7 linked regions of the Ovis aries genome follow. The protein of the gene in region 1 interacts with the protein of each later gene in a pairwise test. Links are inferred from orthologs where the notes say so. Each region holds a gene or a part of one and is shown in the gene's direction. Other genes may lie near its edges. The genes, in order: EWSR1, KHDRBS2, ATPAF2, FXR2, MVK, PRMT1 and MAPK1IP1L.

Region 1 (3,500 bases):
GCACTGAATCTGGCAAGTGGAATAGGTGCGCTTGGTGTGAAGAGAGGCTTTTGAGTCCTTACAGCTTCCCAGGGGCTTCTCTGGTGGCTCAAACAGTGAAGAATATGCCTGCAATGCAGGAGACCCGGGTTTGATCTCTGGGTCTGGAAGATCCCCCTGAAGAAGGGCATGGCAGCCTACTTCAGTATTCTTGCCTGGAGAATCCCATGGACAGAGAAGCCTGGTGGGCTACAGTCCATGGGGTTGCAGAGAGCTGGACACGTTTGCGCAAATAACGTTTTACAGCTGTGGTAAGGGAGGTGCAGATACTTAAAATCATTGTAGTTAGAATTAAAATTGTATTATGCGTTGTGTTGTTTTTCACTGTCATGGTTCATCTAAAGTTTAATATTTCAAGCTTTATTTCTGTGTAAGAGTATCTTTGGTTAGTTTCCCTTCCCTTTAGTTGACATATGTGAAGGTGAATATCAGTCTGATATTCATTTTTCATACAGTACCTTGAGTCTGATGTTTCCTTGTCCATCTTTTCCTTATTAATGCCCAGATTCATAGACGATCAGGCATGTCTGGAAGTCAGGAGCTATGTACACACCAAAGCAACTTGAAACTTAGGCTCAGGAAAAAAGTGGCCACCCAGACACACATCAGGTGGCCTGGTACCTTCAGAAAACGAGCCGTCACTCCAGGGCATGATGTGGGCAGGCAGCCTGGGGACTGAGCACCATACCGGGCTGCCTCACTTTTCTCGGTGCCGTTTCCTGGGTCAGCCTCCCTGGGAGCACAGTCTTCCCTTAATACAGGAAGCACCTAGGCTCCCAAACGTGCCTTGAGTTTGGTTGAGAATAACTATTGTTCTGATGAGCACGTGTGCTTGCGTGTGTGTGCTCAGTCATGGCCCACTCTTTGCGACACCATGGCCCTGCCAGGCTCCTCTGTCCGTAGGATTTCCCAGGCAAGAGTGCGAGAGCGGCTTGCCGTCTCTTCTGCAGGGGGCCCTCCTGACCCAGGGATTGAACCTGTGTCTCCTGCATTGGCAGGTGGAGCCTCCCAACCCTCCACTGCCATGCCACCTGGGAAGCCCTGTTTCAGTAAAGGTGGGGGTGGTAAAGGGGGAGACTCTTAATTAAGGTTGTACATTTTATAGATGGGTTTGTTTTGTGTGTGTGTGTGGTATAATACCCTCTCCTATTCAGAACTTAAATACAAAAATACTTGCTCATTTTAAGTTCAGTGTGTTAATATGTAAAAAGTAACTGGAGTTTTAAGAGTTTCTATGGCACATGCTGGGAACGTCTCCTACATTTAGGGGACCTAAAATAACAAGTCTCTCCTAACAAACTGTTTTGTTTTGTTTTTTCTCAGCTACTCCTCTACGCAGCCGACTAGTTACGATCAGAGCAGTTACTCCCAGCAGAACACCTACGGGCAGCCGAGCAGCTACGGGCAGCAGAGTAGCTATGGCCAGCAAAGCAGCTATGGGCAGCAGCCACCCACTAGTTACCCCCCCCAGACTGGATCCTACAGCCAGGCTCCAAGTCAATATAGTCAACAGAGCAGCAGCTACGGGCAGCAGAGTGAGTTGCTAAGAGAGAAAACCAAATAAGAATGGTTGTGTTTGGAGTTTCTGAAACGGGGAAACACTCTACCACTGTGTGCTTTTGAACTCCAGGATGCATCTTGAGGGTATCATATCCTGGCTAATAATCCTGGCTTTTCTCCAGTTTAATTGTTGTTAGCATGCCTTAGGAGAAAAGAGAGTTTGTAACTGACCAGAGAAAAAGTTTCAGACTGCCAGCCCTGCTCTCTGGGGAGGTTATATGCAGTGAGTGAAGCCAGCTTTTCATATGGCCTGCCCACCCCAGCTCATTAAGAGAGCGTGAGCAGGTAGCTATTGAAGACTCTCGAAGTTTTGATAGTTTAAAAGATACTGTATTTTGATTTTTTTGTGTACATTCATAAGACAAAAATTTTTGTGGAATGCTTACAGTTAATTTATGTGGAAAAGTAACCAAAAATTCAAAAAGTTGTCTTCACAATTTAGTCTGCCTGGATTGTTGTCTTTAAAATGCACCCATGAGTATGTCTCATTATGACAATGAGTCGTGCTTCTTGATGGAGACGACCCCTTAGCAACCCCAAGAAACCTGACTCCATTTTTGTTTGAGTATGGTTTAAAGACCAGTTTTTTAAGGCATCTTGGGATACAGAACCCTGTGAACTGTTGGTCAGAGTCCTGTTTTTGTTTGAGAGTGGTTTTTTCCTAGGCAAACTATATGAGATTACTTCAGCCTTTTTTGTTGAACTTTATGAAAAGCTTACTGATGGGGGACTTAATCAGATGTAAAGAAGATGATACCTCGGTTAGTGCCTTGCACTTGAGAATTCTATGATTCCAGGAGAAAGTACAACAGCAGTGGTGTAAATGCTGATCCATGGCTTACAGATGTGACTCTTTCCTCAGGTTCATTCCGACAGGACCACCCCAGTAGCATGGGTGTTTATGGGCAGGAGTCTGGAGGATTTTCCGGACCAGGAGAGAACCGGAGCATGAGTGGCCCTGATAACCGGGGCAGGGGAAGAGGGGGATTTGATCGTGGAGGCATGAGCAGAGGTGGGCGGGGAGGAGGACGCGGTGGAATGGGGTAAGAGCAAACCTTTTCTCCTTTTACCTAATTTTGTTTCATCCATAGGATTTTCAGTGGAAAGAAGGGACTGAAAGACATAGGAAATTTATTTCTGCATTTCCATGGATAGTCTGATGAGCCCAAGCCATCTTGCAAACATGGAAATGTCATCTCTGTGGCATATCTATAGAGGCAGTTTGCTTTTTTCAATGCCAGTTGACTTGGTTGGGTTGGGGAGAACAAAGAATGGTTTTGAAACTAGAGCTTTCAGTCCCCTTCCTGGTTTCCAGAGGTCAAAAGCCTCCTGGGTAATAGATTTGGGATGGAACACACACAACCCTTCTAACAACCTTAGGTGTTTGACTAATTGCTTCTGAATGATTGTCTTGAAATACGTGGTGTATATACTGCAGAAAAGGAATGCAGCTGTTTTCCACAATGTTTGTCCCCAACTTCTGTTTATACTTGGAACTGTTGAACATAATGATGAAGATCTTGGTCCCATAACCCTTGAACTATGGCCTGAGGTGCACCTGGTGTACAGAGAAGTCTAGTAGCTTTGTGCAGAGTAATGTATATAATTGTGGAATCACTCTCCCCAGTGGAGATTTTGAGAAGTCTAAATCGGTTTGACCATTTTGATGGATGGAACGACCTGGTTTAGAAAACTTTGTCTAGAGTAACGTGAACCTGCTACCCCGCCCTTCCCCTCCCTCCTCCCGCACCCTTTTCCCTTTCTGGTGTCTCTACTTTGATGAAGGTGAGGTGAAATGTTGGTTAACATAATCCAGAAGGCTTAGTTCTGTGTGTGTTCTGTCCCTGTATAAACTAGTGAAAAAAAGTTATGCAGAATGTTGGTATAAGTATAAATTGGAT
Region 2 (3,951 bases), on another chromosome or scaffold:
CCAATACAATATTGTAATTAACCTCCAATTAAAGTAAATAAATTTATATTCAAAAAAGTTTCAGCATGCTCTATTTATAGGGAAGTGAGCCCTCCTTCTTCCACGAACAAAAATGGTGGGGGAGAGACGAATTAGAAAATGACTTTATGAAAAGAGATGGTGGAAAAGTTTATTTTAAAATATCCAAAGTACTTAAACTGCATTTTGAAATGCATTTGTAAGAGAAGCATGGGCAGTGTTGGTGATACCCGGGGGGTTTAACTCTGCTTTATCAGAAGAGGAACAGCAATTGCACTTGGAGAAACAGACTGCATATCCTAAATGACGGAGATACGGGGAGGGCGGAGCAACTGTCGTTGCCTGATTCCTAGCCTGTTCCTTCTTCCACATGTTTTTCTAATTCCTTCACAAACTGATTACGTGGCTTTAGTTGTAAAATTCAGCCCCCTCCCAGAAGGCCCCTATAGATAGGGACTGGGGAAGGAGGAACGGACGGAAGAAAACCAGTCAGTCCCGCTGTGACTGTCCAGTGGAGGCGCGTTGCTGTGCGGCGATACCGCCGCGGAGCCGCTTTATTTGTTCATCAATGAGCATCTACTGCATCCCCTAGATACAGGTCAAGCCCACTGGAAATCGCAGCCACCCATCACAAGCAGTCTTCACTGTATTTCCAGAGCGGGAGCGCCGCCGATCTCTACGCACCGAGTGCGTGTGCCGGTAGGAGAGGGAACAGCTGAGCCTCAGGACGCGGGTGGAGTCAGCTCTGCGCTCCTGAGGCGCTCCCGGCGCTCTCCAGTCCTCGCTGCGCGCCTCCTCGCCCCATCTCCCCGCCGTCTCGGACTCCGGCTGCTCGGTTACGGTGCCCTTCCCGCTCTTCTAGACTCGCGCCTCCGCAGAAGACAGACGGCTCCTTGCACCTGGGCGCCACAGCTGAGCTTGCCTAACGGCCGGAGGGTGCCGGCTGGGAGGAGAAAGCGCGCGCACCTTCCTTGCTCTCCTCCCGGCGGCTCCGCCTCCCGCCAGTTCGGCGCATCGACGTCCGATGCGGCCCAATGGCGACTCTCAGCCGCTGCGGGCCCCGCCCCTCAAGGCACACCCACCAATGAGCGCTTGGCAGGGGCAGAACGCGTCCTGTGCCCGCCTCCCCGTCCAGGCCGCCGGAGCAAGCCGACCTGGGCGGAACCGAGGTACGGCCGCTCGACCGGCCCGGAGGCTCGGCACCACTTCAGCCCGCGGCCGGGCGGGCGGCGACGGCCCAGAGAGGGCGCCAGACACCGGCCGTAGCTGAGGCGGGCGGGCGGCGGGAGAGCAGGACGGCGGGGACGTGCGTCCAGCGCACGGAGCCCTGAGCCTGGCGGGGCCCGTACGAAGTCCGCGCTATGGAAGAGAAGTACTTGCCTGAGCTGATGGCAGAGAGAGACAGCCTGGACCCGTCCTTCGTGCACGCCTCGCGCCTGCTGGCCGAAGGTAGGACTTGCCCCCGGGTGGGCGCAGACCGCCGGCCCCTGTCGCCGCGGCGGGGCTCGGGGAGCGGAGTACGGGAGGACGCCTGTCTCCTTCGCGGAAACTGCCCTGGACGATGCTCGCCCAGAGCCGCGGCGGAGCTGGTCCTTGGGAGGCGGGTGCTACTTTCTCACTCCATTCGCGGCTGAATCCGGGTAGCCCGGAGCGGCGGGCGCTGGCTGTGAAGACAGTGCCCTTTAGGATCACTGATGGAGCGACGTTAAGGAGCTGCGTGGTCCACCGGGATGTTTTAACTCCGCCAAGGGAAGGGAAGTCAGTCTGGAGTGAATGGTGATCAACGTGGTGTTTGATGAGCTTCTTCTTATCTACAAATCAGTCCCCCCCCCCTTTCCCTTTTTCTTTCCCTTTTCCCCCTTTCTTTTCTCTTATTTTCTCTCCCTTCTGATTGAGAAGTGATTTTGATTTTCTTAGTCTAATTACAGTCTTTCCTATGGAAAGACTTAGTATTAACCTAGATTAAATTATGCGTGTTCTGTTTGTGCATGTGGAAGTGGCTGAAATGCATATCAGTTTATTTGAAGTGTGATGATTGTGTGCTCTGGGAGATGCTGGTCCCTGGGAACCCTCCACAATTGATCAACTGTTGTACCAAGTGTGCAGTGTATGTGTGTGTGTGCAGTGTGTGTGTGTGTGTGTGTGTGTGTGTGTGTGTACTTTAATGTTGAAAGAGATTTAATTCCCAGGGGAATATAAATATCTTTTCTTTTGTGTTCTTTTGAAGGGTTGTTTAAACACACACACACAGGAACTTCTGTATGATAGAAATATCTGTAGCAATCTACATTTACCTTTATAAAAACTAAAGACTTTCGTTTTTTTTTTTTGTGGGGGGGTGAATGTCTCAATAATGAGTTGCTTCATCATCAAATTGACTACAATGCAGTTTTGTTCCTTAGGTTCTTAGGAACTTACCTACAGCAAAACTAAAAGTAATAACTTTCTTCCCCTTAGCCCTTCAGCATCAAAAGAAATGTTTTCTTTTGTGAGATTTAGTTTTACATGGAAGGAGAAATTCTAATCCTCCATGTATGAATTAAATAGGCATTATACTTATTTAAATGTTTTATTGATGGATTGTTATTTGCAACAATAAAGTATCAGATATTTTTCTATTTTGTATATTAAGTAATTAAGTAATTAAAAACAACAATTGAAATATTGAACATGTGAAACAAGTAAACTACTTTTCAGGGGACAAGTTGATTTTGTAGAGGATTTGGAATGGAAAATGCAGTCATGCTTGCTACTTCTTGGTTACTAAATAAAAAAATGCAACCTAAAATTGTAAATGAAAGTTAAAAAATTAACCTCTAATCTAATCTATTAAAAATAAATAAACTACATAAAATAATAGGAACATTGAAAATTAATGGATTAACAAATATTCAAAATGATTAAAAATGTCATTGTGTTCCTAAATCATCTATTTCAATGCATTTTCCAGAAATGTCTTCATTTAGCTGATAAAGTCTTTAAAATAGAAAAAGTTACAAATTAATCATTTTCTCAGACCTGCTAATTGGACTTCTTTTGGGGACAGTAGGCTAGATGATTAATTCATAAGTTATTAATGAGAGTTAGTGTACTGAAAACTGCCAGACTAAAGCAATGCATGTGAGGAGCTCTAAACAGAGTATAGAAGTATTTCTCTGTGGTAAAACAGCCAGAAAAGTCTGTGAACCTGGTTCCTTAAAATTTTCTTAACATTTTATTTTTCTCAGAAATTTGGTTTCTTGATACTTAGGAACATGTTCCTATGTACTTTGTAATTTAATATTTTCCCAGTAGGGGGAAGCATGTTCTGCCTTTGTAATGAATTAGAAGTAAAAAGTGCCTAAATAGAAAAATGTCTAAGGAAGAAACAAAGATAGGTGTCCACATTTCAGAGGAATCATAAGGAGGAGGAGGAGGAGGGGAGTAATGATAATAATCTTGAGTATATAAAGAGACTCTTTGCAGCTGGCTGAAAGATCCACAAGATCTAAATTCTGTAATTGTACCCAAGCCTCTTCATGTTCTCATTGAACAGTGTCCTTCTGAATAAACCTTAACATACATTTTACATTACAGATCTTTCGTTGTTTTTTCAAAGGCCATCTACCTAGATTCTTAGGTCTTATTTCGAATCTCTATAGGAGAGTGTTGTTGAGATAATTTTATTTTTCACCCCTGGAAATGTACTGATTGAAGGCAGTGGCTATAAATACACCTGACATAGATGTTCGTTAGGAAAGAAGGTGTTCCATGAAGTACATTTCAGCCAGCACTGTGCAGAATGTCTCAAGACTGAGTGTGTAATAAAAATGATCCAGATGATTCAGTTCTTTGAAATGGTTTTTTGGAAGGTAATATATACAAGGTCAGTGATGTAAGCCACTGAGCATTCATAATGATTTGTTTTGCTGTTTTGATTGGTGGTAGATGCAA
Region 3 (4,122 bases), on another chromosome or scaffold:
CAGAGACTACAAAGGAAGCCCTGACATGTGGATCAAAGTTAAAAATACAGTAAGAGGGTCCCCTAGAGCCAGGAAGGAGGAGAACAGAGAGATGGGGAGGTCTGGGCAGACAGATGGACAGAACAGGAGTGGACTGGAAGTGGAAAGAGGGTGGGGAGTAGGGAGTGTCAAGAGTCTGAGCCAGGAAGAGACTATGGGTTGGGGGCTAGGAGATCAGCTTCTAACAGACTGTGAGGAGCCCACTTAGGATGTGAGTGCCCAGGCTAAGGAATGGGCCAGCAGTCCAGGTGGGATGGGGGCCCTCAGGTCCCGGGGCTGATGGAGAGAGGAGGCGGATGAAGCTCTGCCGGGGAGGAAACCCCCGGAGAAGGAGGCGGGTCCCAGGGCCTGGGGTTCATGGGACCGAGGAAAACGTGGGAGGCAGCAGGCACGTCTAGGGCCTGGGAGCGTCCAGAGTCAGAGGGAATCCCTGGAGAGTTTCCCGGACGGGGTCCGAGAGGGACTGAAAGAAAGACTGTTGCCGGGGCGACAGGCCACGGGGAGGCAGGGCCGGATCTGAGGCGGCCGGTCCCCGGCTCGGGCCCGCAGGGTTGGGGTGCGCCGGAGGGCCCCCGGCAGGCCCGGGCAGCAGGCCCGTCCGTGGCCGCGGGCCCCAGGGGGCGGCGGCGTGGCCCGGTCCGTGGACGTCTCGAGAGGCCGGGCCGCCGGCTCACCTGCAGCACTACCTCCACGTCGTACGAGTTCCCCTTGCTCTTCTGGTGGCCGCGGAACTTGGAGCCGCTGTAGAGCAGGCTGGTGGCCACGCCGGGCTGCTGCGTGTTGATAGGCGGCGGCGGGATGAGCGAGGCGGCGGAGGCGGCCGAGGCACCGGCCGGCGGGGGACACTCGGTGCGGACCGGCATCGCGGGGTCCCCCGGAGCCAGGGCTGGGGGAGGGGGAGGAACCGCCGCCGCCGCGCGGAAGCCGAGGGCAGACGGAGGAGAAGCCGGCGCGCGCGTAGGGCGGGAGGGGTCCACCCGCCGGCCGCAAGCAGATCGAGCGCTCCGGCCACCACCGGGACCCCGGGACCTGCGAGCAGGGCCTCCGGGTCCTGAGCGAACCCCCTCCCCGCCTGCGCTCGCACACACACCCCTTCCGATTGGCTCGGGCGCGCTGAGGGGCGGGATCAGGCTGGCTCGGCGATTCCGCCCATTGGCGGGCGGGGAAAGCACGTGGCGGGAGCCGAGGCCCTCTGGTACTTGTAGTCTTTTTCCCGAGGCGCGGCGCGGGGGCGGGGCCGGGGCGTTTGTGATGCTGATTGGCTGCGGCGTGCGCTGAGGCGCGCGGCGGCGGCGCGCTACGAGTGTCGTGCGCAACATGGCGGCGCCCCAAAAGGGAGAGGGTGCCGGCGACTGGTGAGGAGGTTTGTGGAGTTCGAGCACACGGCGTGTGGTCCCTCCGCTCCTTTTCCCCGAGCTCTGGTTTCGAGCGGTCGTTCTCTGAGGCCCCCGCGCGATGTGGAGGAGCTGCCTTCGGCTGCGGGATGGGGGGCGTCGCCTCCTGAACCGGCCCCGAAGTGGCCTCACCGCCTCCGAGGGGCTGGGGCGAAAGCCCCCTATCCCCTTCCGGGCCTACGTGCCCCCGGCAGGTGAGAGAGGCCAGGGCGGAGCAGGCTGAGGGGTCGGCCATGCAGGGTCACACGGTGGGAGGGAAGTTCCCCGCGAGGGCAGGGATCGCTCCAGGGCACACGCGCGTCGTTTCCTTTTGGCAGGTGCGGTTTTTCTCTCTTTCACTGGGGAAGCAGAGGTCATCCTTATTTTCAGGCGGGGAAATTCGACTTCTGGGTCGGGATTGCGCTAGAGGCGCGAAGCAGACTCAGAGGTTTGCGGGGCAAAGGCCAGTCTGCTAGGCTGCTTTCTGTGTCCCCGCGACCGGCACTGAAGGGGCCTGAAGCTCGGGCTTTAAGTCTTCCATCCCGGCCGCTTGCTCCACAGCTGTCCTGGCCCTGCCTCCTGCTGCCCTCCCAGAACACCTGCCACCTCTTCTAAGGAGTTGACACCCCGTGCCCCCTTCCTGCACTTCCGACTCGGATGAGGCTTTCTGTAGCGGATCTTTCTTACTCCTAGGCAAAGATTTTGGGATAAGAGTGGGACTGACTTTAAGTGAGTGAAGACAGTAACGCTTTCTTTCCTGCCAGTTAGTACTGTGCTGAAGGTGGGGGTGAGGAGAAGGTCACTGCGGTGTTGGAGCTGTTCCGAGGTCGCCCGTGTGGCCTCCAGTCCCCTACCAGCTGTCCCAGCCATCAGCTGCATAGAGAAGAAAGGTCTTCAGAGAGCCTGCCTGTCCAGCTGAGGAGTACACCGGTGAAGTCAAAGCTGGGGGTCTCTGCTTACAAGTTGTCTTGTCTGCACAAGTGGTTTAGCGTCTCATTGTCTGCCTCCTCTAAAGAGACAGCTTGTGCTGGATTGAGGGAGATGCTGTAGATAGGGAGGCCAGCCTGCCACCTGTTTTTGTAAATAGTTTTCCAGGAACCCAGGCCCGCTCATTCACTGACACACACCTAAGGCTGTTTTCACTACAGTGCAGAGTTGGCTGGTTGTGCCAGACACTGGATGGCCTGCAAAGCTTAAAACACTTTGGCTTTTTACAGAAAAAGTTTGCCAGCAGTGCTGTGGATGCTAGAGCGGTTTTGGGGAAAAGTGTTTAGTCATCTGGCCCGTTTATAGTAATTGCTGTGGTAGATACACTTGCCCTGAAGAATTTTAAAACAGCCTTACTGAGATGATGCATTTAGAATTCACTCACTTAGATTGTACAGTTTAATGGTCCCTAATGGCTCAGATGGTAAAGAATCCACCCTTGTTGCGGGAGACCTGGGTTCAATCCCTGGGTTGGGAAGATCCCCTGGAGGAAGGGCATGGCTACCCACTCCAGTATTCTTGCCTGGAGAATCCCTGTGGACAGAGGAGCCTGGCGGGTTACAGTCCATGGGGTTGCAGAGTCGGACATACTGAGCGACTAAGCACAGTATACTCAGAGTTCTGCTGCCATCAGTTCTGGAACCTTCTTATGACACCAAAGGATCCCTGTACCCATTAGCTGCCACTCTGAGTATCCCCCTGCCCCACCCCATCCCTCCAGCCCTAGACAACCACTACTTCACTCTCTATGAAGTCAAGTCGCTCAGCCGTGTCCGACTCTTTGCGACCCTGTGGACGGTCGCCTACCAGGCTCCTCCCTCCATGGGATTCTCCAGGCAAGAGTACTGGAGTGGGTTGCCATTTCCTTCTCCAGGGGGTCTTCCTGACCCAGGGATTGAACCGGGGTCTCCCGCATTGCAGGCAGATGCTTTAACCTGTGAGCCACCAGAGATCTGTATCTATAGATTTCCCTATTTTGGACATTTCATATAAATGGAATGTGGTCTTTTTCTCCATTTAGCGTATATCCAAGGTTCGTCCTGGCTTCCCTGGTGGCTCAGACGGTAAAGCATCTGCCTACAATGCAGGAGACCCTGGTTCGATCTCTGGGTCCGGAAGATCCTCTGGAGAAGGAAATGGCAACCCACTCCAGTACTCTTGCCTGGAAAATCCCATGGACGGAGGAGCCTGGTAGGCTACAGTCTACGGGGTTGCAAAGAGTCGGACACGACTGAGCACCTTCACTTTCACTTTCACAAGGTTTGTCCTAGAGTTAGCGCATGTCAGTACTTCATTCTTTTTCATAACTGGTAATATTCAGTTTTGGGGACACACCATGTCTTATTTACCCAGTCAGTCATTGATGAACATTTGGGTGGTTTTCATCATTTGACTGTTCTGAATGCCTTTGTAAACACTTGAATACAGGTTTTTGTGTGAGAATGTGTTTTCGTTTCTCATAGGAGGTACCTAAAAATAAATAGGACGTCCCCAGTGGCTCAGGGTTAAAGAATACACCTGCAAGGCAGGAGACCCGGCTTTGATTCGTGGGTCAGGAAGAGCCCTTGGAGAAGGGAATGGCAACCCACTCCAGTATTCTTGGCTAGAGAATTCCATGGACAGAAAAGCCTGGTGGACTGCAGTCCATAGGGTCACAAAGAGTTGGACACAACTAAAGCAATTTAGCACACACGCAAGAGCAGACTTGCTGGATCAAACGGTA
Region 4 (3,500 bases), on another chromosome or scaffold:
GCAGAGTGAAAGACAGATTCCTTTTGGGGATGTCCGGCTACCACCTCCAGCTGACTATAACAAGGAGATCACAGAAGGGGATGAAGTGGAGGTAAGGGCCTGAAGTCCACCTTTTCTAAACATCACTTTTCCCAGGATTCTGCATCTCCCTTACCCTGATACAGGTATCATAGGCTCCTTACTGCTTGTTGCACTCTCCTTCCTCCATCCAGCTAGGCAGTCTGTGGAGGAGTGAAGTGTCCATCACCATTGTGATGAATCAAGCCTTTAGGGAGCTTCCTAGTTTCAGGGGATCCACTTTGCTTCCATTTACGATAACAGCATCTGAACTCCAGTGTCCTCTGATGTTAACTAGCAGCTCCTTCCTCTAGTTTCCTTTATCTTGGTCTAGGATGCCTCTTAAGTGTCTTAATGCTCATTCTATTCTTGATGTTTTTAGATGGGCCTCAAGATCTCTTTTATTTTCAACTTCTCTTCAGGTTTATTCTCGAGCCAATGAGCAAGAGCCTTGTGGCTGGTGGCTGGCCCGGGTGCGGATGATGAAGGGAGATGTGAGTGTGACTGATTGTCAAGGTCTTTGGGGGAACTGCTGAAACATTTTTGTCAGAGGATGGTGGGAGACAGAAGCTCATGTTATCCACACCTTCTTTCTTTCCTTCTGCCAGTTCTATGTTATTGAATATGCTGCCTGCGATGCCACTTACAATGAGATTGTCACCCTGGAACGGCTTCGGCCCGTTAATCCCAATCCCCTTGCAACCAAAGGCAGCTTCTTCAAGGTTACCATGGCTGTGCCTGAGGATCTGAGAGAGGCGTGAGTGTTTGGGATATTGGGTGTGGGGGACCCCCTTTATGGTCCTCATCTCTGCACGTGTTTGTCCCAGGCCCTGCTCCCAGTGTGTTTTGTGTTCCCTTGACCCTCTAGAGTCTTCTCTGCTCCCAGTTCTGTTTCCTCATCTCTGTTCTTTAACTGAAGTCCTTGTTTTTCTCAGTCCCTCTCTCTCCCGTGAATGTTCAGCTATACTCTACACTCTGCCCTCTGAGCACTGTTCTCTTTTCTCTGCAGCTGTTCCAATGAAAACGTCCATAAAGAGTTTAAGAAAGCATTGGGAGCGAACTGCATCTTTCTCAACATCACAAATAGTGAGCTCTTCATCCTGGTGAGTTTATTTTGCCTGAACTTCACCTAAGCCCTTCTCCCCTTTTAACTCTTTTGCAAGAAGGGAAGAGCTAAAGTGTGCTTATATTTATTTGTCAGAAAGGACTTTATTCCTCCTGAATCCTGTGGACCCAGGTTAGCCCTACTATTCCTTAGTCTTTCTCATGTATGCCTTAATTTTTTTTCAACCTGACCATCATATTGCAGTATGGGTCAAGGACCCTTCTTGCATATTTGGACTGTCAGAAACAGTATGAATCTCACTTGTGCTTGCCACGTAAGATCAGTTCCCATAGGCATCCAGATAGTAGGCCCTTGTGAGACCAACAGTGATTTTCTCTTCCTCAACTTTGTTTCTTAAACTCCTGCCCTTTTCCAGAGACTCAGGTGTCCTGATTTCCCAGTTCCTGACTCTCCTCTAAAACATAGGCAGTTTTTAGTGACTTTTCTGTTGGTTTCTTTCCAGTCAACCACGGAAGCCCCTGTGAAGCGAGCATCCCTGCTGGGTGATATGCATTTTCGAAGCCTGCGCACCAAACTGCTGCTCATGTCACGCAATGAAGAAGCTACCAAGCACCTCGAGGTAAGTTTGGGCTCCACTTTTTACTGCTGAATGGTCTTGTTGTCTTCCCTCCCACCTCATCCTCCACTCATACTCTTATGTTTACAGAACAGAGGTTAAGATCTTTCTGGGCCATTAAACCTGGGTCTGCTATTTCATCTCTGGATGGCAGAGCTCCATCATGTTTTTTGTGTGAAGCTTTTTTTTTTAAAGCTACGGGACCATGTGACCAAGTGAAATTTTACTTGAAAGCACAATGCATAAGACAGATGAATCAGAACAAGTCTGTCTAAAAGTAGAAGAAGGTGTGGGTCTTACCTCCACTGGGTGCCCCCAAATTACCTCTGAGAACCAAACCACTTTGTGAGAGCCATTTGTACACTGGAAAAGATCCCTAGTCTTGGAATCAATCCTGTCTTGCTTTGTCAAATAATTGACCTTTGGCAAATAATTTGATTCCAGTGAGTTTTCTCTTCCTATCTGTGACAATGAGGAAGTTGAAAGAGAGTGTTTATACAAGGTCTTTTTGAATCCTGACATCTTATGATGGTCAGATTCTCTTAGGAATTATACTGTCCTAAGTGAGGTGCACACGTGTATGTGTTATTTGAACATCCATTTCCTTTTAATCAAGTGAACTGATCTTTATGGGAGCCTGTGCAAATGGTAATCTGTATTTCTCCAGGGATGCTCCTCAGGGTGCTGCCAGAGCCTTTCCCTTTGCCTCCCTTTGTACTCAGGCCTCCCTCTGAGGGCTGGTTGAGAAATGAAGTGGTAACATGGTGTGTCATAGCCTCTTTTTATGCTTTTCTTAACCTCTTGCTTTCTCCTCAACTTTTTGGGTTTTATTTTGGGAGTTTGTATTGGTTTGGATAAGGTAAATATTCCTTACACTTGCATCTACCATGTGAAAAGTCCTTTCTAAACACCAGTCTTATTTAATCCTGTTAGTCTGGGAATGGGGCAGGTCAGGGGTAATCGTTTAGTGGGAAACAGCAGAGGCACAGAGAGTATGTTTTGTTTGGGATTATACAACCAGATGGTGTTAGAGCCAAATCCAGAACTTTGATGGCTCCTAGCCCAAACCCTGCTATCATTACCTCCCCTGCCCACCAAGCCATTGGTACTGAGAAGGTAGGAATGGAATGAAGCATTCCTAAATTCTCCACACAGGTCCTGGTGGTCAGTGGACTTCCAGATAGTTCTGGCTTTCTTTCACAGTCTTTTCTTATTGAAGTTATGCAAAGTGTCAGATTCCCGGGACAGGTGTCTGAGATTTCACCATGATTCCTATAAGTCAGTGTCTTTTTTTCTTTCAGACAAGCAAGCAGCTGGCGGCAGCTTTCCAAGAGGAGTTCACAGTGCGAGAGGACCTGATGGGACTAGCAATTGGGACTCATGGTGCCAACATCCAGCAGGCCCGAAAAGTACCTGGGGTGACTGCCATTGAATTGGGTGAAGAGACCTGCACTTTCCGCATCTATGGGGAGGTCAGCAAAAGATATCTGTTGTCTAGGTCCCTTCGGGGATACAGAAGAGTGTGTGAAATAGAAAGGAAGCCTGTCGTGTTCACCTCTCTCCCCTTTTTTTAAATAATGTGCATACCTTTTTTTTCCTTTAACTGGTGTATAGTTGCTTCCTCCCTCCCAGACTGTGGTGGCAGCACATTTTCCCAAAGACAGAGAGTGGCAGGAAGATCACTGTTTGAGATCCAGGTCCTCTGTTTTATTAATAACTCCCCATTCTTCTCTTAGACTCCTGAAGCATGCCGACAGGCCC
Region 5 (3,988 bases), about 4.8 Mb from region 1:
AAGAGGCATTTTCAAATAGCAACACCTTTAATACAGACTTCAACATTAAAATGTGACATTAAAAGGTTATTAGAGGTTGAATTACTGGATCTATAAAACATATTGCTGCTGCTGCTAAGTCGCTTCAGTCGTGTCCAATTCTGTGCGACCCCATAAGACGGCAGCCTACCAGGCTCCCCCGTCCCTGGGATTCTCCAGGCAAGAACACTGGAGTGGGTTGCCATTTCCTTCTCCAATGCATGAAAGTGAAAAGTGAAAGGGAAGTCACTCAGTAGTGTCCGACTCTTCCCGACCCCATGGACTGCACCCTTCCAGGCTCCTCCACCCATGGGATTTTCCAGGCAAGAGTACTGGAGTGAGTCAGGTTTGAGGTCCAGGATGGGGTGCTAGTTTCAAGGTATGTGATGAGAGCCATCTTTACAACGCGCTGGTGTCTCTCTGTGTCTTGACTGCTTTGCAGACAGGTTAAGATCCGAACTGAGGACCCCTACTGATTGTGAGGTCAAGCAAGATGACCCTCTTGGTTCACGTGGGCTATGCCCGGTCCTGACGGATGCTGGGTTTCGTTTGGACTTGTCTCGTGCTAAGAAATCTTGGTCTCTGGTTTCCCCGGAGCCCAAGTTGCCATGGTGACGTCAGGATTAAAGAGGAGGTCACCTGGCGATTGCTGCGGTGACCTCCCATCGGTGTGATGTAAACACGGCGACGACAACACAACTCAGGTCAGGTGTCTGAGTTAACTTCTCAGCCAGGTACTCACCTGTCCCCGTCTTCCACGCCCTGGGGGCCACGGCTCTGGAAACGGGGACACAATAGCTTGCGGGCTCCAAGGCACTCGCGCAAGCCAAGGCGACCTCCCAGGCCCCACACAGCCATGCCCCAGGCCGCTCGTCGAGGGCTGACCCCGCCAGCTTGCCGTCCAGGTTTCGAGGCGACTCCACCTACCGCCGGCCGCGCCACCGCTCAGCCTCATCTTCTATTGGTCCGTGGCTCTCTCCCCAGGGCGGGACACTCCCAGGGACTTGCTTCCCATTGGTCCAGGGAAGGATTTGGGCGGGGAAATCCGTGAGGACTTGGTGAACGGCAGCTATTGGCCAATGCTCAAGCCAATTGGTAAAGGGAACTCTCGGCTCGTACGCTCTGATTGGCTTGGCGGAAGGAAGAAGCCGCCTCACCTCGGGTACCCGCGAGCTCTGGTATGGAGTCTTGGAGCGGCCCAGCTTCGGGAGCAAGCACCTGAGGCGACAGGTGAGAGGTTGGGGTTGCGAGGCGAGGTGGCGCGAAGGCCGAGGCCGAGACCCAGAACGACCCCGGACTGGGCTCCCGGCCTCTCAGGCTGTTTCCTCAGCTCTGAAAATCCGTCCTCAGGAGCCGGCGACCTGGAAACTGACAGGATTTTGAATCGCGGACAAGCAGTAGGTCTCCTCACTTGGAGTCTGAGTTTCCCTCCCTGAGGAACTGGGGTCATGGTAGCACTTAGCTCATAGTTCGGTTCAGCTCTCACGCTACTGAAGTAAAGCCTTAAATAGATAGTTTTTTTCTTTTCTGTTTTTTAAGTCGCTCAGTCGTGTCCGACCCTTTGCGACCCCATGGACTGTAGCCTGCCAGGCTCCTCTATCCATGGGATTCTCCAGGGAAGAACACTGGAGTGGGTAGCCAGTCCCTTCTCTGGGGGATCTTCCTGACCCAGGGATCGAACCCGGGTCTCTTGCATTCAGGCGGATTCCTTACCGTCTGAGCCATCAGGGTAGCTTTGCATTATTCATAAAAATCTAAAATGTGCACACGCACACCCAGCAAGTCACTTTCTAGGACTCTGTCTTGCAGAGATCCTGACTTAAGTGTGCAAAAAAAAAAAGGGGGGTGGGGAGGTGTAACAGCTGTTTATCTGCAACTTGTTTCTAATTGTGAAACGTTAGAAACAGCCTGAAAATGCCCAGGAAAAAAATTTCTTTCCAGTCCATAATTTCATTTAAATTTCTACCTTTAATAGTAGTACTAATAAAAGCTGGAACCAAAAACAGAGTCAGTAATACCGAGCTATCAGTAACTGACTGTGGTGTGCCAGACACTGCTAAGTGTTTTGCTTGCGTTATTTAGTTTAACTTTCTCAGAAACCATTAAAGTAAATAGTTACTGTCCCTGTGTAACTTTTAAGGTTCGTGGCTATTTGATGGCTGTGTGGCTAGCTAAGATGACATCACTGGGGAGCAGTGGGTTCGAACCCAGATTTTTTGGAGAATTATTATTATTATTGCTTGGAGAATCCCAGGGACGGGGGAGCCTGGTGGCCTGCCGTCTATGGGGTCGCACAGAGTCGGACACGACTGAAGCGACTTAGCAGCAGCAGCAGGCTGACTGCTGCCCCGCACTGCTTTTGGGGCACACAGCAAGTGCTGAATGGTAGCTGCCTTTTTTGTAATAATGGGGTGCTTTAATTAGGGGTTCTCTGAGGTCTGGGGACCTTCCATCCTCTCTCTCTCTTTCCTTTTCAGGACTCCCAGGAGCCATGTTGTCAGAAGTCCTGCTGGTATCTGCTCCAGGGAAAGTCATTCTGCATGGAGAGCATGCTGTGGTCCACGGCAAGGTACAAGGCCCCCTGAACCTTTGAGGGTTGGGAACTGCTGCTCCTGGACACTAATCTTTTCTCTTTCTTAAATTTAGTTTTGGCTGCTCTGGGTCTTCGTTGCTGCGTGAGGGCTTTCTCTAGTTGAGGCAAGTGCAGGCTTCTCCTTGCTGTGGCTTCTCTTGTTGTGGAGCACAGGCTGTAGGCAAGTTGGCTTCAGTAGTTGTGGTTCGTGGGCTTAATAGCTGCAGCTGTCAGGGTCCTGGAGCACAGGCTTTGTTGCTCCACAGCATGTGAGATCTTCCTGGAACAGAGATCAAACCTGTGTCTCCTGCATTGGCAGACAGATTCTTAACCGCTGGACCACCAGGGAAGTCCCCTGATGCTAATATATTAAAAAAATTTTTTTTTAATTTATTTGACTGTGCTGGGTCGCAGTTGCGGCATGTGGGATCTAGTTTCCTGACCAGGAACCAAACCCAGACCCCCCTGCATTGGGAGCGTGGAGTCTTAGCCACTGGACCAGCAGGGAAGTCCGCTGATGCAGTCTTAGAAGAAGCTGAAAGAAAGGCTTGAGGCATAGCCTGGGAGATCAGAGAGGAGGTCAGTTTCTTCCCAGCTGGGCAAAGAAAAGGCAGGTGTTAGGCTCGCTGAAGGACTTCTCTGGCCCACCCAGTAAGATAGCAAGAAAATGACACAGAAAGCCATGTGGGCGTAATGAAGTCACTTAGGAAGTAAGCTTCAGTGGAGAAGAGATGAAGTTTAAGGGCTAAACTCTTGGGGAAAATGAATAGGATCCTGCAAAGGAGTCTGAGACATGCATATTTCGTTTAACTCTTAAAACTGTCCTCATAGTTAAACTTTTATTATCCTATTTTACAGTTGTGGAAGCTGAGGCTTAGGAGGGCGTTGGCAACTTGTTCAAGGTCCCGCACACCTCGGTAGAGCTAGGAGTGACCCTGTCTGCTTGAACCTAAAGCCATGCTTTTTCTGCTCCTCCCTGCTGTCATTTTTCACATTCTTATATTAATCTTTGAAAACACGGTGATTAGGGAAGCCATCCCTTGGTGTTGAGAAATTCTGAGTTTTACGTGGGAAGGGAAAAGATATGTAGGTATTAACTCCTAATTGATTGGTAGCGGTTGTGCCTGTGAAGAAGGTGCCAAAGTTGATGAGAATCGTCTGCCAAGGGCACAGTTCAGAGTGGCCCATGTGCTAGTACCTAAGTCAGAAGCCATGCATGTTGCCAACGCCCCCCAGGCTAACTGCTGGTATCGTGCCCTTTGTTCTCTAGGTAGCACTAGCAGTGGCCTTGAACTTGAGAACATTCCTCCGGCTTCAGCCCCACAGCAATGGGAAAGTGGGCCTCAACTTACCAAACATTGGCATCAGGAGGGCCTGGGATGTGGCCAGCCTTCAGCT
Region 6 (3,950 bases), on another chromosome or scaffold:
CAGCAATACAATGGAATACTCCTCAGCAATAAAAAGGGCTGGACAATCGTTATATGAGACATGAACGAATCTTGAAAACATTATGCTGAGAAAAACAAGACAGGCACAAAAGAGCACATACTTTTATTGGAAAATTTAGCAGCTGAAAAGATACACTATAGTAACGAAACAGTGATTGCTTCTGGGGTTGGGTGGGAGGGCGGTGTTGAAAGGGTCGTGAAGGAACTTTCTAGGGTGATGGGATACATTCCCCAAGTAGCAGTTACCTTCATTCAACAAGTAACTTTTTCTACAGGTCGAGGGAAGCTACCTGGAGGAGGTGGCGACTGAGTTATGCCGGGACTGACTCATGAAGGCCAGACGAAGGGGGTGGGTGTTCCAGCATGGGTAGGACTTGGCAAAGGCCAAGTGCTTGAGTGGGGTCACTGGGTTTTAAAAACTTGTAACAATTAAGTAGAGGGCTAAAGATTAAACACCTCGACGCCTGAGTCCCATTTCTGACTTGATTCAGGATCACGGATAAGACCTCTTTGAGCCTCTCACTGCTTCAGTTTTCCATCAGGAAAATGGGCACAAGCTCCCTTATTTCCCGTTGGATTCCCTACAAGCTGGGAGAAGCCACAGAGTGAACGGTGAGTGACAGTTTGTTTGAGCCAATCTCTGGAGCCTAAAGCCTGCTTTCCTTTTTCGTGGGCCAATCGTCACGTTCTCCTTGAGGCCAGCAGCTTGGCGGAGGCAGGCCGAAAGCCTCATGACGTCACATTGCTAATAAACCAATAGCAGCTATTAAGAGGCGGGTACTTTTGGTGATAGTTCTATTTCAAGATGTCCGCTTAGCGCAGGGTCCGCCGGGAAGCTTTGAGGCGGTACGGGAGAAGGGGCGGGAACTCCCAGTAGATTCTGCCCAATCGTCAGTCGCGCTTCTTGCGATAGACGGGCAGTCTTTCCCATCCCCGTCGACTTAAGGGGGCGGGGTTCGGCACGCCAGAGTAGGCGGGCACCTCAGCTTTGATGGGTGTCTCCTTCGCCCAATGGCTAAATGGTATTTCCAGACGGGTCACCTCCTCTACCAATGAGATCTCCTGGCGGGGTCGCGGTGGGCGGGCCGTAGACCCTCCGGTATAAGGCGGTCCCGGGGGAGTGCGGAGAAAGGGGGGGGGTCTCGGCGGCCGGAGGAGGAGTAGACGCGGGTGAAGATGGCGGCAGCCGAAGCCGCGAACTGCATCATGGAGGTGAGCGCCAGGAGCGCCACCGGGGGCGGGGGGCGGTTTGGAAGTCGGTGTTTTACGCCTCCGCCGTGGGGAAGGGGCTCTGAGTCGCCGGATTGGGGTTGAAGGCCCCTGGCCGTACGGAGGGGGGCGCCGCGTGCTCCGTATCCGAGGATACCGTTTGAACTGCGGGTTCCCTAGCTTTCGGGGGCCTGAGGCGCCACGCCGAGCCGAGGGCCTACTGCCCCCTCCCACGTGGAGGAGGGCTGGGGGCGCTTCCGGCCTGGCCCCCACGTGGCCGTGGCACGGTGGGTGGGGAGGGGGTGTGCCGTGCCCGCTTGCCCGGCGGGTTCCACGTGCGGGACAAAGGCCCCGCCCCCGGCCAGGGGAGGGGCGCCCCGGGGGGGGGCGGAGAGGAGGCTCCGACCCTCCCTCCGAGGCCCCCTACCCTCCTCCCCGGGGATCGTGACGGGCACCTCGGGGTGGGGACCTCCGTGCAGTAATGAGGCTCTTGGGAGGGGCAGTGTGCCTCGACCCTTAACAAACCCTTTCCTGGGACCAGGGCATCTGCTTAGGCATCGGTCCAGGTTTCGTGCGCTCTTGCGTTGGGATTGGAGGAAGACGAAGAATTGGTTCCCTCTGGGACCCCTCCTACCCTCCAGTTTCCTGTCTCTGGATTCTCCCCCTCTTTGGGAGCTGGGGGGATGGGGCATGCCCCTGTGACCTCCCTCTGGTCTATGGGGGGGCATCGAGCGGAAGATCTTTCCCGATTAGGCGCTGTGCACCCCCTTGTGGCCATTTCTGGGTGTGTGGGAGGGACATCTTTTTCATGGGGCGTGTCTCCAAGCCCCCCTCCCTGTCGAAGCCCTCCCGGGCGAGGGGAGAGAGAATCTGTCCTGGGAAGGGCTGTGAGGTAGTGGAGGCAGCGGATTTACCTCCTTCTGGCCCTTCCTCTCCCTGGGGTATTTGTGAAGATGGGAGTTGACCACCTCCTCCCTGAACCCGTGTTTGAGGGTCCTGAACCTGCTTGCGTGAAATGGTGTCCCGTGAGGTGTGATTCTCTTGCAGTTATGTGGGGCTTGCCATGATGCTGTGTCTCAAGCGCTCTGGGGGCATGTCTGGCGGTGATGTCGGTGGTGTAGAGAAATGGGCCCTCAGGGGAAGTCCCCTCACCCGCCGTCTTTCCGTATCCGCGTCATTCACTGGTTTGGGGAGGATGGAGGTGGGGCTTGGAGCCCAGGGGTTATGTCTGTGATTTCACGCTTCTTGGCGCCTGGAGAGTGCTTGCATCTGGAAGAGCTGTAATCTGTTGGGCCCTCCGTACTCTCACCTCTTAGCTTGTAGCAGTCTCAGGAATGGGAGGTGAGGTTCCAAGATGCATACCTTGGGGGGCAGCCCCAGGGGTCACTCCAGTGACTCCCCCTTGGCTCTCTGCTAGACGAAGGCCTTCTTGGCTGGAGGAAATATCTTCCTCAGAGGTGGATCCAGGACTCGGCCCCTCCCCTGGGGAGTTTCTGGGCCTGAGATGGTGGTTCGAACGGGGAGTAGATGGGCTTGGGGGTCCAGGGTCTGGCCTCCTCCGTGGAACTCTGCCCTCCTGCGCAGAGGGTCATAATCAGGAGATTGGCACTCCCTTGTTTTGTTTGGGACTCCCTGAGTCCCAGGCAGGAGCTAGCAGCCCGCATGCCAGCTCTGGTGGGGGGTGCCCGTGTGCCACACCTCCTTTCTGGAATCCTCTCAGATGAGAGAGTGCTTTGCAGAGGTGACAGATGCCCAGTGGGTACACCCTGCCAGTTCCCTTCCCCCAGCTCGAATGGTACCCCAGGATGAGGCTTTGTGTCAGGAAGTGTCATCTAATCTGGGGAGATTAGATGGTGAGGGGGAGTGACAGCTGGCAGTGCCCTTGTGCCCGGCGGGTGCCAGTTCCTCTGGCCTGGATGGGGGAGGCGTGTGTGCTCAGGTGCCTGGCCCAACAGGGGCAGTGTGGGGGCAGGCCACCATCTCTCCAGCCACAGCTGGGATAGAACCCCCTCCCTGCTCCCCCACATCTCCCCCACCCCTGTTGAAAACAGCCTTGCCTCTTTACTTGTTCCTTCTCCCACCACTGCTCACAAAGGAAAAGCAAAATTGTAGGAAACACCTCCTTCTTGCCCAAGAGCCCGGGTCGCCTGGCCTGGCCCTCCCCTAGCCGCTCCTGGTAGCTAATCCTTTCTCCCTGTTACTCTCTCCTAGAATTTTGTAGCCACCTTGGCTAATGGGATGAGCCTCCAGCCGCCTCTTGAAGAAGTAAATATCCTTTTGTGAGACCCCTTCCCACATACACATTTCCTCACACGTCACGCCCTTTTTAGTGGTCTAACTGATCCCTCTGGCTTCAAACCACTTTACCCTTGGCCCCCGAAACACTTAGTCCAGACTCCGTCCAGGTTTGGGCCCCCACCTGGCCTCTCCCAATACTGTGGCTACTTCCTTAACTCCATTTACAGCCCCCCACCCCACCTTTGTCCTTCCCTGTGTCTGCCCCGCTTCCGCCTTCCTCTCCCCTCCCTTCCCCAGCTGTGGGCTGAGCTAGAGACGGGGGCAGACAGACTGGAGAGATGGTAGGCCTGGCTGAGGTATCGGGGGTGCCCTCCTGGATGGTGCTCTGGGGGTGGGGGGTTCCTGGGCGAGGCAAGACGGCAGGTGGGGGCTGTAGGGTTGCCATGGTACGGTTTGGGGAGTGGTTCTGTATACTCCATGGGG
Region 7 (3,926 bases), on another chromosome or scaffold:
TCTTTTAATCTCAGGGCTGCAGTCACCATCTACAGTGATTTTGGAGCCAAAAAGAAAAAAACGAACGTCTGCCACTGTTTCCCCATCTATTTGCCATGAATTGATGGGACCAGATGCCATGATCTTAGTTTTCTGAACGTTGAGCTTTAGGACAAATTTTTCACTCTCCTCTCTCACTTTCCCCAGGCTTAGGTGTTCGAAGTTTCTCTATCGCTCATTTTTCAGTATGGGAATTACGTGTGCTGTGGAATAAACCCACATAAGTCTTCGTTTAAGAAGCTAATAGTAAAACGTCCACCCTCCAATCCACTAACAGCAAGTGAAAATAAAATCTAATAATACTGCATACGTTTTAATTTTTACACTAAAACATATGTACGTGTTATATATGTATATTTTGCACAACACGTAATTATGACATCTTCATTGTTAGCTAGCACATTCCCTGACCGCTGCGGTCAGACCCCTTTGGGGTCTGTCACAGAGTAGATAGGTAAAGGTTTATTCAAAACTAAACTACGGGGAGAAAAAAATATTGATCAGAAAAAACCTGCAAAGATATCCATTCCTTTTGTTAATATCAATTTGTCAAGCCATTTGCAAACGTCTTCACTTTTCTGCAGTGTTGCTTTACATAGAATATATAAAAGTCACTCAGTCGTGTCCGACCTTTTGCGACCCCATGGACTGTAGCCCACCAGGCTCCTCCCTCCAGGGGATTCTCCAAGCAAGAGTACTGGAGTGGGTTGCCATTTCCTTTAGCTCTCCACAATTTTGGCCAACGGATCTGTGCCCCGGGTTAGAAGGCATTCACATCTAGCCAGCTTCGAGGCCTAACTCTCAAATGCCGCAAGTGTAGGGAATCCAGAACTTGCTTTCAAGCCTCTCCAGGAGACAATTTCCTCCAGGCTGCCAGAGCGCAACTCGCCACTGGCGTTTCCTTTAGACACTCAGAACTCCGGGAAACTAGGGATCTTTCCTCCCGCCCACCGAGAGAAAAACAGCCGAGCAGCCGTGGACTGGCTGGCCGCAGTTCCACCGGGGCCCTGAGGAGGGCGCGCGCGGCCGGGCCCCGCCGACCAGTGGGGAGGCGGAGCCGGGTGGGGGCAGCGCGTCCGAGCACGGCGCTTCCTGTTCCGGCGCCAGGAGGAGCCGCGCGCTGCTGGTGCTGCTGCCGCCCCCGTCTCCGCTGCCGTCGGTCGGGCTACGCTCGGTTCTTCAGCGCCCAGTTCTCGCGGACCCATCGCCACTTCTAGATCTTGCTGCGAGTTCGAATCTTGCCGGGTGAGGCTGCCTCGGCGCTAGGGGGGTCATGGAGGAGAGCGAGGGAGCCCGCCCAAGCGGGACGCGGGGACAGTAACGGAGGTGCCTCAGACGCCTCTTCGCGGGGGCCGGGGGCTAAGAGTCTCTCCCCGTGGTTTTCCTCTCCGCTGTGGGCAATCAGCCCGCTAGGCCCCCAAGGAGAGGGCGTCGGGGGCGGGTGACGTCGTAGCGATGGATTTCTCGGCGGGTGACGTCAGGCCTGGCTCGGGGGGCGGGGCGGGGAGCGGGCCTGGCCCCTCCCCCACCCTTTCCCGGGCGGGCGCGACCCGCTCGGAGGCCGGTTCGCTCCGGTTAATCCCGGACTCCTTTTGTTCGCTGGGCTCTGAAGGGCTACCCGCCTAGCGCCCCTTGGCCCCGACTCCCTCCCCTACTCATTAATTGCTAAGGAAAGGGAGAGGAAGGCTGAAAGATTCTTGTAGGAGTCTTTGGCGCTAGTTTAAGATTATTCGCAATATGAGGTTTTGCTCATCTTTTTTTTTTTTTGTCATCATTTTCTAGAGGAGTTCCTAGCAGATACTCAGATGAATATCCATGACAAACTGAGAAGTGTTGAGTTCTGTAGTGCTCCCTTATTTTAGGATTTAGGAGCGCCTGGTGGCTTTGGACCGTTTTCTTCTGAAAACCAAGAGTAGCGCTTTTAATAAATGGGGATAGTAATGTTGAAGCATGGAAGCATACTCATCTGACAGAAGACGAAAAACATTTTTATAGGGTTGCTACTAAAGAAATACACGCTCGTACGCTTCATGGCTGTGAGTTTGTTTTGAAAACGAACCCTCCATTAAAGACGAAGTTACCCTTCAGAAATCTTTCAGAAGCTCTTTGTTCGGGAATAGTGGTCTTCGGGCAGGAGGAATAGACATTTTTCTCAATACGAGTGTCTCTGAACTTTCTATTCAAAGCTAGTTTGTTTCAGAAACTTGAGTTATGTGTACTGGAATGTCCCTTTTTCTCTCTCCACGAGGAATGGAGACCCAGAGACAGCCCCTTAACTGAAATCCTTGGGACCAGTGTGTTTTGGAATTCAGAAATCCTAAAATTTTATCTTTAGGTTTTAGAAAGACGATAAGGTACAAAGACGAGAGATCACACCAGCGGAGTCGGGGCAGCGTCCCCAATCCAGCATTAATATTTGTGCAGCGATGAAAAGTGAAGTCGCTCAGTCGTGTCCGACTCTTTGCGACCCCATGGACTGTAGCCTGCCAGGCTCCTCTGTCCATGGGATTTTCAGGCTGGAGTGAGTTGCCATTTCCTTCTCCAGGGGATTTTCCCGACCCAGGGATCGAACCCAGGTCTCCCACATTGTAAACAGACGCTTTACCGTCTGAGCCACCAGGGAAGTCCACCAAGTAAGTTTTATGTCAAACGGGAACACTTCTTTCATTTCTAGAAGTTTCTAAATTGAGAACTGCAGGTAAAAATTTACAAACCTATCATAGCAATTTGTAGAAACTGACACCTGTTGAGTTTTTGCTACGTGCCAGACGGTGACCAGGAGATTTATTGTGTAAGTCTCACGGCAAATCTGTGAGGTGGATACTACTGTCAGCTTTCACCTCTGGGGTTGGCACAGCTTGGCTTGTCCAGAGCCCACCAGTGAACTGCAGCATTACCTAGTTTTAAATACTTGTGGTGTGCACGCCTTTATTTTTCTAATGCTTTTTTAGTTGAAGGATAATTGCTTTACAGTATTGTGTTGGATTTTGCCATACATCAGCCTGTACTAGCCATAGGTATATACATATGTCCCCTCCTTCTTGAACTTCCCTCCGACCCCCCTCCCCAGGCTTGTAGCCATATGCAGTAGCCCGTACACCGAGGAAGAGAAGATGATATGTTTATTTATGTTCTCTAGGCACTTTTACTATAGGCACTTGATTTACCAGTCCCATTTAGTCCTGACCCATTTAGCCCTGACCTTAAGGACCCATTATTATAGTTGAAGTAACAGGTTCATTGAGGTGAGCTATCTCTGAGATGGTCAAACTTTGGTCTAGAGACTCTCTGGTTGAAGCTTTCATATTCCTCCCCTTTCTACATTGCAGCCAATCTGATCTGCTTATATGTCCCTGCCCCAGCTTTTGCACAAACTGCTCCTTTCCCTAGGGCCTACCCCAGGTCTTTTTGTTCTCCCACACTGCAAAGACAGGACTCCTCAGGATTCCTCCCTTGATAATCCTTTCCTTGATACCTTTAGGAGCTCTTCAGGGTGCTCCCATAGTGCCCTGCACTTACCGCAGGTAGCCTACTGTTTAAATGGTAGTTCTCCACCAGACTGAACTGCCATTAAGTGTTTATTCCACCTAAGACTATTCATTTCCCCAAGGCCCAATGCAGTACCAAGCACTTAGGTTCCAATAAATATGAGTGTAGAAAATAGGACTAACAGGACCTTGTTGAAAAGTTATTTTTTTAATTACATATTTTTAAGTAATTTAAAATGTTCAAAAACATGCAGATCCCAATTTCTTAAGTTGTCCAAATGTAAAACAGAGTGTTAGCTAATAAATGACAATACTAGAAACTATCACATAAAAATGCTCATTCAAAATTTATATTTTCAGTACAATATATTTCCAGTATTCTTTCCCCATACTAAACAA

The links.
Region 2: the proteins of EWSR1 (region 1) and KHDRBS2 interact in a two-hybrid assay, tested with the Homo sapiens proteins (2 studies listed by BioGRID and IntAct). The two-hybrid records come from large-scale screens. The link is inferred for Ovis aries from reciprocal best matches to the Homo sapiens genes EWSR1 and KHDRBS2.
Region 3: the proteins of EWSR1 (region 1) and ATPAF2 interact in binary tests that used the Homo sapiens proteins (3 or more experiments, as listed by UniProt). The two-hybrid records come from large-scale screens. The link is inferred for Ovis aries from reciprocal best matches to the Homo sapiens genes EWSR1 and ATPAF2.
Region 4: the proteins of EWSR1 (region 1) and FXR2 interact in a two-hybrid assay, tested with the Homo sapiens proteins (2 studies listed by BioGRID and IntAct). The link is inferred for Ovis aries from reciprocal best matches to the Homo sapiens genes EWSR1 and FXR2.
Region 5: the proteins of EWSR1 (region 1) and MVK interact in a two-hybrid assay, tested with the Homo sapiens proteins (2 studies listed by BioGRID and IntAct). The two-hybrid records come from large-scale screens. The link is inferred for Ovis aries from reciprocal best matches to the Homo sapiens genes EWSR1 and MVK.
Region 6: the proteins of EWSR1 (region 1) and PRMT1 interact in a two-hybrid assay, tested with the Homo sapiens proteins (2 studies listed by BioGRID and IntAct). The link is inferred for Ovis aries from reciprocal best matches to the Homo sapiens genes EWSR1 and PRMT1.
Region 7: the proteins of EWSR1 (region 1) and MAPK1IP1L interact in binary tests that used the Homo sapiens proteins (3 or more experiments, as listed by UniProt). The link is inferred for Ovis aries from reciprocal best matches to the Homo sapiens genes EWSR1 and MAPK1IP1L.

What each region holds. Positions count from the first base shown.
Region 1 is NC_056070.1:68,577,602-68,581,101, forward strand, and holds part of EWSR1 (RNA-binding protein EWS), read left to right. Parts: intron 1-1,362; coding exon 1,363-1,574; intron 1,575-2,461; coding exon 2,462-2,642; intron 2,643-3,500. UniProt on the Homo sapiens protein: Binds to ssRNA containing the consensus sequence 5'-AGGUAA-3'. Might normally function as a transcriptional repressor. EWS-fusion-proteins (EFPS) may play a role in the tumorigenic process.
Region 2 is NC_056073.1:1,048,985-1,052,935, reverse strand, and holds the start of KHDRBS2 (KH domain-containing, RNA-binding, signal transduction-associated protein 2), read left to right. Parts: upstream 1-1,151; 5' UTR 1,152-1,379; coding exon 1,380-1,467; intron 1,468-3,951. UniProt on the Homo sapiens protein: RNA-binding protein that plays a role in the regulation of alternative splicing and influences mRNA splice site selection and exon inclusion. Binds both poly(A) and poly(U) homopolymers. Phosphorylation by PTK6 inhibits its RNA-binding ability.
Region 3 is NC_056064.1:34,270,625-34,274,746, forward strand, and holds the start of ATPAF2 (ATP synthase mitochondrial F1 complex assembly factor 2), read left to right. Parts: upstream 1-1,322; 5' UTR 1,323-1,494; coding exon 1,495-1,627; intron 1,628-4,122. Other genes in the region: GID4 (glucose-induced degradation protein 4 homolog), read right to left, coding at 714-902. UniProt on the Homo sapiens protein: Plays a role in the assembly of the F1 component of the mitochondrial ATP synthase (ATPase).
Region 4 is NC_056064.1:27,145,352-27,148,851, reverse strand, and holds part of FXR2 (RNA-binding protein FXR2), read left to right. Parts: coding exon 1-91; intron 92-479; coding exon 480-551; intron 552-665; coding exon 666-814; intron 815-1,066; coding exon 1,067-1,160; intron 1,161-1,625; coding exon 1,626-1,742; intron 1,743-3,040; coding exon 3,041-3,211; intron 3,212-3,475; coding exon 3,476-3,500. UniProt on the Homo sapiens protein: mRNA-binding protein that acts as a regulator of mRNAs translation and/or stability, and which is required for adult hippocampal neurogenesis. Specifically binds to AU-rich elements (AREs) in the 3'-UTR of target mRNAs.
Region 5 is NC_056070.1:63,768,443-63,772,430, reverse strand, and holds the start of MVK (mevalonate kinase), read left to right. Parts: upstream 1-1,188; 5' UTR 1,189-1,248; intron 1,249-2,495; 5' UTR 2,496-2,509; coding exon 2,510-2,587; intron 2,588-3,860; coding exon 3,861-3,988. Other genes in the region: corrinoid adenosyltransferase MMAB, read right to left, coding at 761-876. UniProt on the Homo sapiens protein: Catalyzes the phosphorylation of mevalonate to mevalonate 5-phosphate, a key step in isoprenoid and cholesterol biosynthesis.
Region 6 is NC_056067.1:55,810,324-55,814,273, forward strand, and holds the start of PRMT1 (protein arginine N-methyltransferase 1), read left to right. Parts: upstream 1-1,150; 5' UTR 1,151-1,196; coding exon 1,197-1,232; exon of another isoform or gene 1,233-2,244; coding exon of another isoform or gene 2,245-2,259; intron 2,260-2,439; exon of another isoform or gene 2,440-2,570; intron 2,571-3,438; exon of another isoform or gene 3,439-3,440; coding exon 3,441-3,494; exon of another isoform or gene 3,495-3,498; intron 3,499-3,692; exon of another isoform or gene 3,693-3,805; coding exon of another isoform or gene 3,806-3,808; intron 3,809-3,950. UniProt on the Homo sapiens protein: Arginine methyltransferase that methylates (mono and asymmetric dimethylation) the guanidino nitrogens of arginyl residues present in proteins such as ESR1, histone H2, H3 and H4, FMR1, ILF3, HNRNPA1, HNRNPD, NFATC2IP, SUPT5H, TAF15, EWS, HABP4, SERBP1, RBM15, FOXO1, CHTOP, MAP3K5/ASK1, MICU1 and NPRL2.
Region 7 is NC_056060.1:65,599,202-65,603,127, forward strand, and holds the start of MAPK1IP1L (MAPK-interacting and spindle-stabilizing protein-like), read left to right. Parts: upstream 1-1,126; 5' UTR 1,127-1,284; intron 1,285-2,584; 5' UTR 2,585-2,672; intron 2,673-3,926.